Neurospora crassa OR74A: one gene and its partner. The protein of the gene in region 1 purifies or fractionates together with the protein of each later gene. This does not show direct contact. Links are inferred from orthologs where the notes say so. Each region holds a gene or a part of one and is shown on either strand. Other genes may lie near its edges.

Evidence for each region. The genes of interacting proteins can lie anywhere in the genome.
Region 2: the proteins of NCU07870 (region 1) and mus-27 purify together in Schizosaccharomyces pombe (affinity purification with western blotting; 3 studies listed by BioGRID). This does not show direct contact. The link is inferred for Neurospora crassa OR74A from reciprocal best matches to the Schizosaccharomyces pombe genes pol1 and mcl1.

What each region holds. Positions count from the first base shown.
Region 1 is NC_026503.1:1,182,422-1,186,572, reverse strand, and holds the start of NCU07870 (DNA polymerase alpha catalytic subunit), read left to right. Parts: upstream 1-1,351; 5' UTR 1,352-1,526; coding exon 1,527-1,815; intron 1,816-1,906; coding exon 1,907-4,151. Other genes in the region: NCU07871 (hypothetical protein), read right to left, coding at 1-743.
Region 2 is NC_026502.1:3,504,125-3,508,355, reverse strand, and holds the start of mus-27 (chromosome segregation protein), read right to left. Parts: upstream 2,801-4,231; 5' UTR 2,671-2,800; coding exon 814-2,670; intron 750-813; coding exon 1-749. Other genes in the region: NCU08485 (WD repeat protein), read left to right, coding at 3,254-3,291, 3,352-4,231. UniProt on the Schizosaccharomyces pombe protein: Has a role in regulating DNA replication complexes. Acts as a regulator of post DNA replication initiation. Associates with chromatin during G1 and S phases of mitosis. Required for the transcriptional repression of the outer repeats of the centromeric region.

The sequences.
Region 1 (4,151 bases):
CTTTCGTTGGCTGTTTGTACTGTCGTGAACATGCTGTCCAAATCGCCGGCGCGGGCACATGTCTCGAGGACAGCGTTAAGATGAATTGTGGTTGGCTTCACGCGCTCATTCCTGAGCAAGCTGTGGTAGATCTTGACGGCTTCTGCAACTGCCTGCTTGGGGTGCTCGCTCATGGCGCAGCCTCGGAAGATGATGGTGTAAGTCCTGGCATCTGGAACCTGGGCGCGCTTCTTCATCTCGTTGTAGATCTTGATGGCGGCAGACAGACGCTTGTTCTTCATGTGGTAGTCGATCAGATGGTTCCACGAGACTTGGACCTTTGCGTTCTTGCTGGCCTTGCGGGTGAGAACAAGGGCCTCTTCATATTTTCCTTTGTCAAGGGTCAACTTGACCTGCTTCTCGATGTGGAAGGGATCCTTGAAGTGCTTTAGTTGTAAAGCCGCACTGCGCTCCAGCTTCTTCCGCTGCTCGTCGCTCAGGTCCCTCTTCTTCCTCTTCCCTTCCGACCCGTCTCCATCTTCTTCCCCTTCCGGCGCTTCGAGATCGAGGGTAACGGAGGGATCGGCGGCAGTCTTTGGCTTGAGGGCGGGCAAGTGGTAGGATCGTATGGTGGTCGTGGACTGGCTTGGTGTAAGTGCGCCTAACCTTGGAAGGGCCAGACGAGATCCAACTGCAGGCGCATTTATCCTAGCCAAAGCTCCAGGAGCCAGGCCTTTCCGCAGACAAGCCCGGCACACAAACATGGTTTGCGGACAACCGAGTTTGCCCTTGATTGTTTTGAATCTTTTTCTTCTGCGAGGTACGGGCCGAGGTACCTGTGTTGCTAATGGTCGGTTGGTGGGGTATCTGGATCGTCGAGTTTCCTGTGACGATTTCCTGTTGTTCTAGACAACTTTGAGAATTGGGCGATGTGGTATCAAAGCTATGGCCCGGGAAGAAATCGATATTTGGTATTTTGCTGCGGCGGGCGCACAACTGCCCTGGACTCTGGACGGAGGATGATGCTGAGATGGAGACCGTGAATGATGGCCAAAAGTTAGGATGACATTCCGAAATTTTGGAGACTGATCTACAAAAATGCCTGCCGCGGCCTTTTGCACTTGTGGAGACGCGGTGGGTCGGGGGTCGGCATCAGGTACACTGACAGGGGCCCCGTTGCTGAAAGGTACGTACACTATGTACGTGGGCCACTACGTTGCTTTCCTTAGGTATCCGCTTAGGCCAAAGCAGCAGAACTGCCCCACCTCTTAAACACGACCGTGACGGGGACAAGGGTTCGCGCTTACAGTTTACAGTAAAGTACGCGACGAGTAACGAAACTAAACGCGACTTTCTTTTTGTTACTGGAGGGGACCAATTGAACCCTGTAATCCCACTATATTTCTCTTACGACTCTTGTCACCAACACTACCACATCACGGTGGCCCCGTCGACATTCTCTCCAGAGTGTTGGCCTGGTGCTCCTCTGTTGTCTCGTCACCATCCAATCTCCAATCCTAAAGGCAACATCACAACGGCCTGTCAAAATGTCCAGACGAGTAGCCAAGCGAGACAAGTACGCTGAGCTGCGCGAACTGCGCCAGTCCGGCAAGAAGAAGACCTACGACGTCGGCGAGATCGACGAGCTCTACGAAGAAGTCGACGAGAACCAGTACAAGAAAATCGTCAGAGACCGCTTGAACGAGGACGATTTCGTGGTTGACGACAATGGCGAGGGTTATGCCGACGACGGCCGCGAAGAATGGGACCGTCTCCCCCAGTACCACAGCGACAGCGAGGAGGAATTAGGCCTACCCGGCAGCAAGCCGCGCAAGTGTGAGCAGATCGAGACGCTGAAACCCGACGATGGGAGCAACTTATAAAGCACTCTGGTTCTGGTACTGACCTTCGTTCTCCTCCCTCTTAGCCAAGAAACAAAAGGAACATGAAGATGCGAAACGAGATGCCAACGACAGAGACATCACCGAATACTTCACGAAAGGCGCCGTCAAAGCCCCACCAAAACAAAAGGTCATCAAAACAGAAGAAGATGAAAAGTTCTTGGACGACCTCATCGACCAGGTCACCGCACAAATCCCCGTCCCGGTCACACGAGTATCCAAGAAGCGAGATCGATCAGTCGAGAGGAGAAAGGTCCGGGTGCTCTCCCCGGTACGGGAACCTCGGCCACCCATGGCAAAGAGAGCCAAGACAGTCGATGATCGGGCATCATCCCCAGCAGGAGACGACGACCTTCTACCAGACGACGACTACCTGCCTGCTATGGACGACGAACCTGCACCAGTCTCCGATTATCTTATGAGCGACGCCATCATGCCCTCCTCACCGGCCGCCAAAGTAGCAACACGGAGGACGTTTGGCAGGCCGGAACCCAAAAAGAATGAGGATGATGAGGACGAAGATGAGGACATGATGGAGGTTGCCCATACTGGAGCGGTAACAGCCGCCAGCGTCAACATATCAGCATCCCGTCAAATCAAAAAGATTCTCAAGACAGAGCCCGTCCCGGCCAGTTCGTCACCCGCAAGGGCACCAGCGCCAGAGGTCGACGCTGCTTCCTGGAACGAGATCAATCAGAAGCTCAATGTCGTATCCATGTCACAAAGCGAGGGCAGGAGCGTTGGCAAGATTGACTACAAGGACGCTATCGAAGAAGACGGCAGCTTGAACATGTTCTGGACAGACTACACAGAGGTCAACGGCAGTTTGTGCTTGTTTGGCAAGGTCCTAAACAAAAAGACCAAAACCTACGTCAGCTGCTTTGTCAAGGTTGACAACATTCTCCGGAAGCTTTTCTTCCTGCCGCGCAAGTACCGTGTGCGAGGTGGCGAGGAAACAACAGAAGAGGTGGAAATGATGGACGTCTACAACGAGGTTGATGAAATCATGACCAAGATGAATGTCGGCATGCACAAGATCAAGGCTTGCACCCGCAAGTACGCATTCGAGCTTCCCGACGTTCCCAAGGAGAGCCAGTATTTGAAGCTCCTCTACCCATATACCAAGCCTGCGATGGAACCCACCCACAAAGGCGAAACCTTCTCCCACGTCTTTGGTACCAATACCGCTCTGTTCGAGCAGTTTGTGCTCTGGAAGAACATCATGGGCCCCTGCTGGCTCAAGATCGAGGATGCAGACTTCACTTCCTTGAGGAATGCTTCGCACTGCAAGCTGGAGGTCCTGGTAGAACATCCCAACATGGTGTCGGTCCCGGATAACGCCGAGAGTATTGAGCCTCCTCCTTTGACGTTGTTAAGCCTGGCTATGCGCACAGCGTTCAACCCTAAGGATAATAAGCAGGAGATTCTCGCGGTTAGCGGGAGAGTCTACCTTGATGTGTCGCTCAGTGACACCACTCCCCCAGACAAGCTTGCTTCTCGTAGTTTCACCGCTGTTAGACCTTACGGTAGCGCATTTCCTATCGGCTTCGAGACGCTTGCCAAGGAAAGAAACAGAGGTGTGCTCAAGCTCTTCAAGCAGGAACACGAGATCTTGAATTTCTTGCTCGCACAGATCGATGTTGTCGATCCAGACGTTATCCTTGGCCACCAGCTAGAAGGTGTTGACTACAGCATCTTGCTGAACCGGCTGCACGAGAAAAAGACACATCAATGGTCTCGTTTGGGCAGACTCAGGCGCTCTCAGTGGCCCTCGTCCATTGTTAAGATGGGTGGCAATGTATTTGCCGAACGTCAGATAATGTCTGGCCGTCTGCTATGCGATCTTGCTAACGATGCCGGTAAATCAGTAATGACCAAGTGCCAGACCTGGTCCTTGACCGAGATGTGCAGTCTGTATCTGGGAGGCGAAAGTCGTAGGAGGGATATCGACAACGAAGTCGCCCTGAAGACGTGGGCTAACGCTGACAAACATGGTTTGATGGACTACATCTCCCACGCCGAGACTGACACTTACTTCATCGCGGCTCTTGCACTCAGGACTCAAATTCTTCCTCTTACCAAGGTTCTCACCAACCTGGCTGGTAACTCGTGGGCAAGAACACTTACCGGTACGCGTGCTGAGCGGAACGAGTACATTTTGCTTCACGAATTCCACCGCAACAAATATGTCGTCCCGGACAAGCAGACCTTCAAGGGTCGGCAACGCATCGAGGAGGAAAACGCAGAAGAGGAAGGCGGAGAAGGAGGAAA
Region 2 (4,231 bases), on another chromosome or scaffold:
CTCTCGTCCTCCCCGGCCACCCTCCTCTCACCCACCTCTCTGATCTTCTCCCCTAATATTCTCCTTCCATACCTTTCCGCGACCTTACCCGCCGCCTCAATCATCCGCCCCGTCCTGTCTTTCATAAGTTTCACCACCTCCAGTGCCCTCATCCCCCTATCCTCACCCTCGCGGCACTCAATCGCCAGCAGCTGCAGCAGAGTCTTGTCGATATCAAGCTCCAGCCTAGCCAGCGCGGCGCGCTGCGAGGCCGTGGACCGGGAGCTTTCGAGCATGTCCGAGAGCTGCGCGGCGCGCAGGGATGAGAGAAGGAAGGATTGGGTTAAGGGAAGGGATTCCTTGGTTGTTAGGGGATCGGCGTTGTTTTCGGAATCAGAGTCGTCGGCTTCTGATGCAGAGAAATCGTTGTCCTCCTCGTCTTCACCGTCAACGTCCATAGAATCGTCGCCACTACGTGTCTTCTTTTTCTTGGATTGCTTCTTGGGCTTCGCGGAGGTGAGGGGTACGGCAAAGTCGAATTCGGAAAGCAAGGGGCGAGGGAAGTAGGGGTATTGGTCGCCACCCTTGAGGATGATGCAGTGAAATTTGTGGTCGGCGACAGCGATGGGGAAATAGGATTCCTTTTTGCGGCCGGAGGCGAGACGCGGGAGGAGACGGGTGTCGAGGAGGGGCACCCATACGGCCCGGGATGGACGGCGCCAGTGAAGGAGCGTGAGGAGGGTGCCGGTTGAGTCGTAAATGCAGGGGTCCTGGACCGGATGTTAGTGGATGGGTAAGATACAAGGGAAGAGGGAGAGAGGGACGAAGACGTACGCCATTGTCAGAAAAGAAGACGCTCTTCACTGTCGCGCCTTCAGGAAGGGCGACGGTGTCTTCGTTCTGACAAACTTCATCCCGCTTGATGTTCTCAATGGTATACAGCAAGCGCGACATACCGTCCGCACCCACAGGCCCGTTCCCCATAGTCAGGACGTAGTCCCTCCAACTAGCGCACGTAACCATCGGTGTGCTCTTGGGTCTGTACACCCTCACGGGAATGCCGAAAAGGGTGTATATCCTCACATAGTTGCCCGTCGTTGTCACGGTAATATATGAATCACTCAGCGACATGGCCAGCACCGCCTCACCCTTGGGCAGCTGTATGCGCCAATCATTTCTTTGCGTCCAGGTCTCATGGGGGCGGTAAAAGACCACAGCTGGGGAGCCATCCTCTTTGGGTGGGCACGAAAAAAGGCTGCCCTTGTCGTTCAAGCAGGCCTTATCGTAGAGGAAGGTATCGGTAAAGTGGAAGTCTCTGTGGAACTCGTGGTCGTAAAACTCGACGGTTACGGTATTGTGAGAGTCTTGGTCAACGGTCCAGACAAAGCCGATCAGGTTCAAGCAGAGATATTTCCGGTTGCCGCGCCATGGCGTCGATCCAGGTTGGAAGGAGGGATGGTGTTGCGGTTGGACAAAGTTGCCACGCTTGGCAGTGTGACTCTCGTAGATCGCATCGTCTTCGGCTGGGCGTTTGCGGCCCGCGTTGAGGGTGTATCCTGCGCCGTCATCGTCCACCACGAAATCGTCGTCGTCGCCGTAGTTTTCGTCCAGGAGGTCATCGAGATCGGCGTCCACGGAGTCTCTGCGTGGGCGAGCGTCGGGCTTAGGACCACTGACTTCTAAGCGGCGGGTGTTGTTGGATAGTTCGGTGAGAGGGTCGTGGATAAAGGGGGCGGGCTGCTTGGGTAGCCTGAGAAGAGAGGCGAACTGCTCCGGGACGAAGTCGGGGCTAATGTAAAGCTCTCCGTCGGAGGTTGTGAATGAAGCAAGGTTTTTGGTGGGATGCCAGCAGATATCGGTAACATTGGGATATTCGTATCTTGCGATGACACTCTGGTCTTTCGTTGACCAGATCAGAAGCTTCTTGTCCTTGCCAGCCGAGGCGAGCAGGGCACCGTTGGGCGACCAAGACAGGGCCGTGATATCTCCGTCGTGACCGCTCTTAAAGACCCGCTGCTTTTCCCAGTCGTTCTTGGAAATAACCTGAATGTCTCGTGTAGGAGTGGGTGCGGCAAAGGCGCGACCATCGGGGTGCCAGACCGCCCTTGACGAGGCTTCGGACTCTGTCTCTAGCCTGCCAATGACACCATCCACCTTGCGAATCAGCTCTGGGTGTTCGGCAGTCAAAGAGTATATGTATATGACGCCGTCGGTACATGATAGCGCGAGCAAGCTGCCCTTGGGATCGAAGGTCAAGTGTTTTGTCGGCTTTCCGTGTTCTTTGAGGGTACGGAGCTGGGTGTTGTCGTGCACTCCAACCAGCCTCACTGTAAGCTCGTCGCTGGCAACAGCGCACCACTGGTGGTCTGGGGATATGGCGACATCGCGGACTGGGAGAGAGGTTCGCAGAAGGAAACGGTCGAAGGCATTAGTGTCGAGGGAGTACAAGCTGACGGTACCGTCTTCGGAGCCGGCCACAAAGTAGTTGTTGCTGGTGGCAAGGGCAAGGTTCTGTTCCTGGCAGTCGTCGATATTCGTGGGCTCGCCTTCATAGCCCGTCTTGTAGAGTCTGGTGGTGTTGTTGGACCCGACCGTCACCAGTCTGGTGCCATCGGGGGTGTAGGCGCAGTATGTTGCTCCCGGGGGATGGGCGGGTCGTGACCGTGGTCGGGATGCGATGAGGGTGGTCATGTTGAGAGATGGCTGAGTGTATTTACCCTGGGACCATTCATTCCCTTCCAGGTTCTTCAGCCGCAAAGAGGGAAGAGGGAAGAAAAAAGAGGAAGGGTAGGTAAAGTGGTAAACGGCGTGTAAGTTACAAGATGGAAAGACGCGTCGAGCGCGTTTTCAATTTACAGCACGCGCTAGCAACTTAGGTATCGTGCCCCACCATTGTCATCCCCACGGCAGCGAGTACTGCGTAGTATACTCAGGACCCACTCATTCCACTTGGGCGCTGAACTTCCCCGCCAAATGTTGGATAGGGGTAGCTCCTCCCGCGGCCGTAGGGCTGGCTGTTAAGAATGGCCCTTTCTATAGCTGCATTTCTTAACAGGCCGCTAACACCACTTATCGCTCTAATTGTCTGCCTGTTGACTTCGAATCATCTGGAACACCATCCACTCCCGTCATTACCTCTAGGCGGCCACTTACTTACAAATCAGAAGAAGTTGCTATATTCAAGAAGAGAGCACAGTAGGAACCATTCAATCACCCACCGCCTTCACCAGAGCTGAACAGAAGAAGTCAACATTGGACATCCTCAAGCATCAAAATGCAGTCCTCAGACCCACGCCATTTCTTCGAGACCGAGTAAGTAACCAGGGGTTCCCTTAACGTCAACAAGATGAACTAGAGCCTGACATCTTGGAGTGCGGAGATTGCGAAGAGAGAGAGGAGAGAAGCCAAAACCAAGAACACCTATGGCAACCCCATCAAACTCAAGTCCAAGATCCTTGGAGCCGTTGTTGACCCCCGTGCTCCCTCATCGGCCATCTTCGTAGCCGAGTCTGCCGGATCAGTCCGGAGAGTCCAGGTCGATGGTGAGGGAGACACAAAGACAGTCTACCGCGGTCCCACGACACCCGTCAGTTGTGTAGCTGTGGGTGGCCCCGGCAACAAGACCGTCTTTGCCGGTGCCTGGGACAAAAACATCTGGTCCTGGGACATTGATACCAAGGCTCCGGGCCGCAAATATGCTGGTCACTCGGACTTCGTCAAAGCCATCGTTTGCGCAAGGCTGGGCGGAAAGGATGTTCTGGTCAGTGGTGGTGCTGACAAGAAGATCATTGTTTGGGACATTGCAACCGGCTCCAAGCTTCATGTGCTACAGGACAGCGTGGTGAACATGCTCAGCATCCAGGACCTGGTCGTCGACCCTGCTTCTTCGTCACCGGATGAGTTGTGTATCATCAGTGCCAGCAGCGACCCGCACATCCGCCGTTGGAAGATTCGTTTAAATGGGTGGGAGCAGTTTGCGGAGCCTGACCCTGCTACCCCGGCAGCAGAGCGACATACCATTCTTGAGCACGAGACGACCGTCTATAAGCTGGTCATCGATCACGACGGCGATGAGGCCGACTTGTGGTCTGCGAGCGGTGACGGATCCGCCAAATGTCTGTCCAGAATCAAGGGCTTCACTGCTGACGACACTTTCGAGCACGGCGACCATGTCCGTGCTGTGGCGGTCACAGATCAATGGGTCATCACGGCCGGACGCGATGAAGACCTCAAGGTCTGGGACCGGACTTCA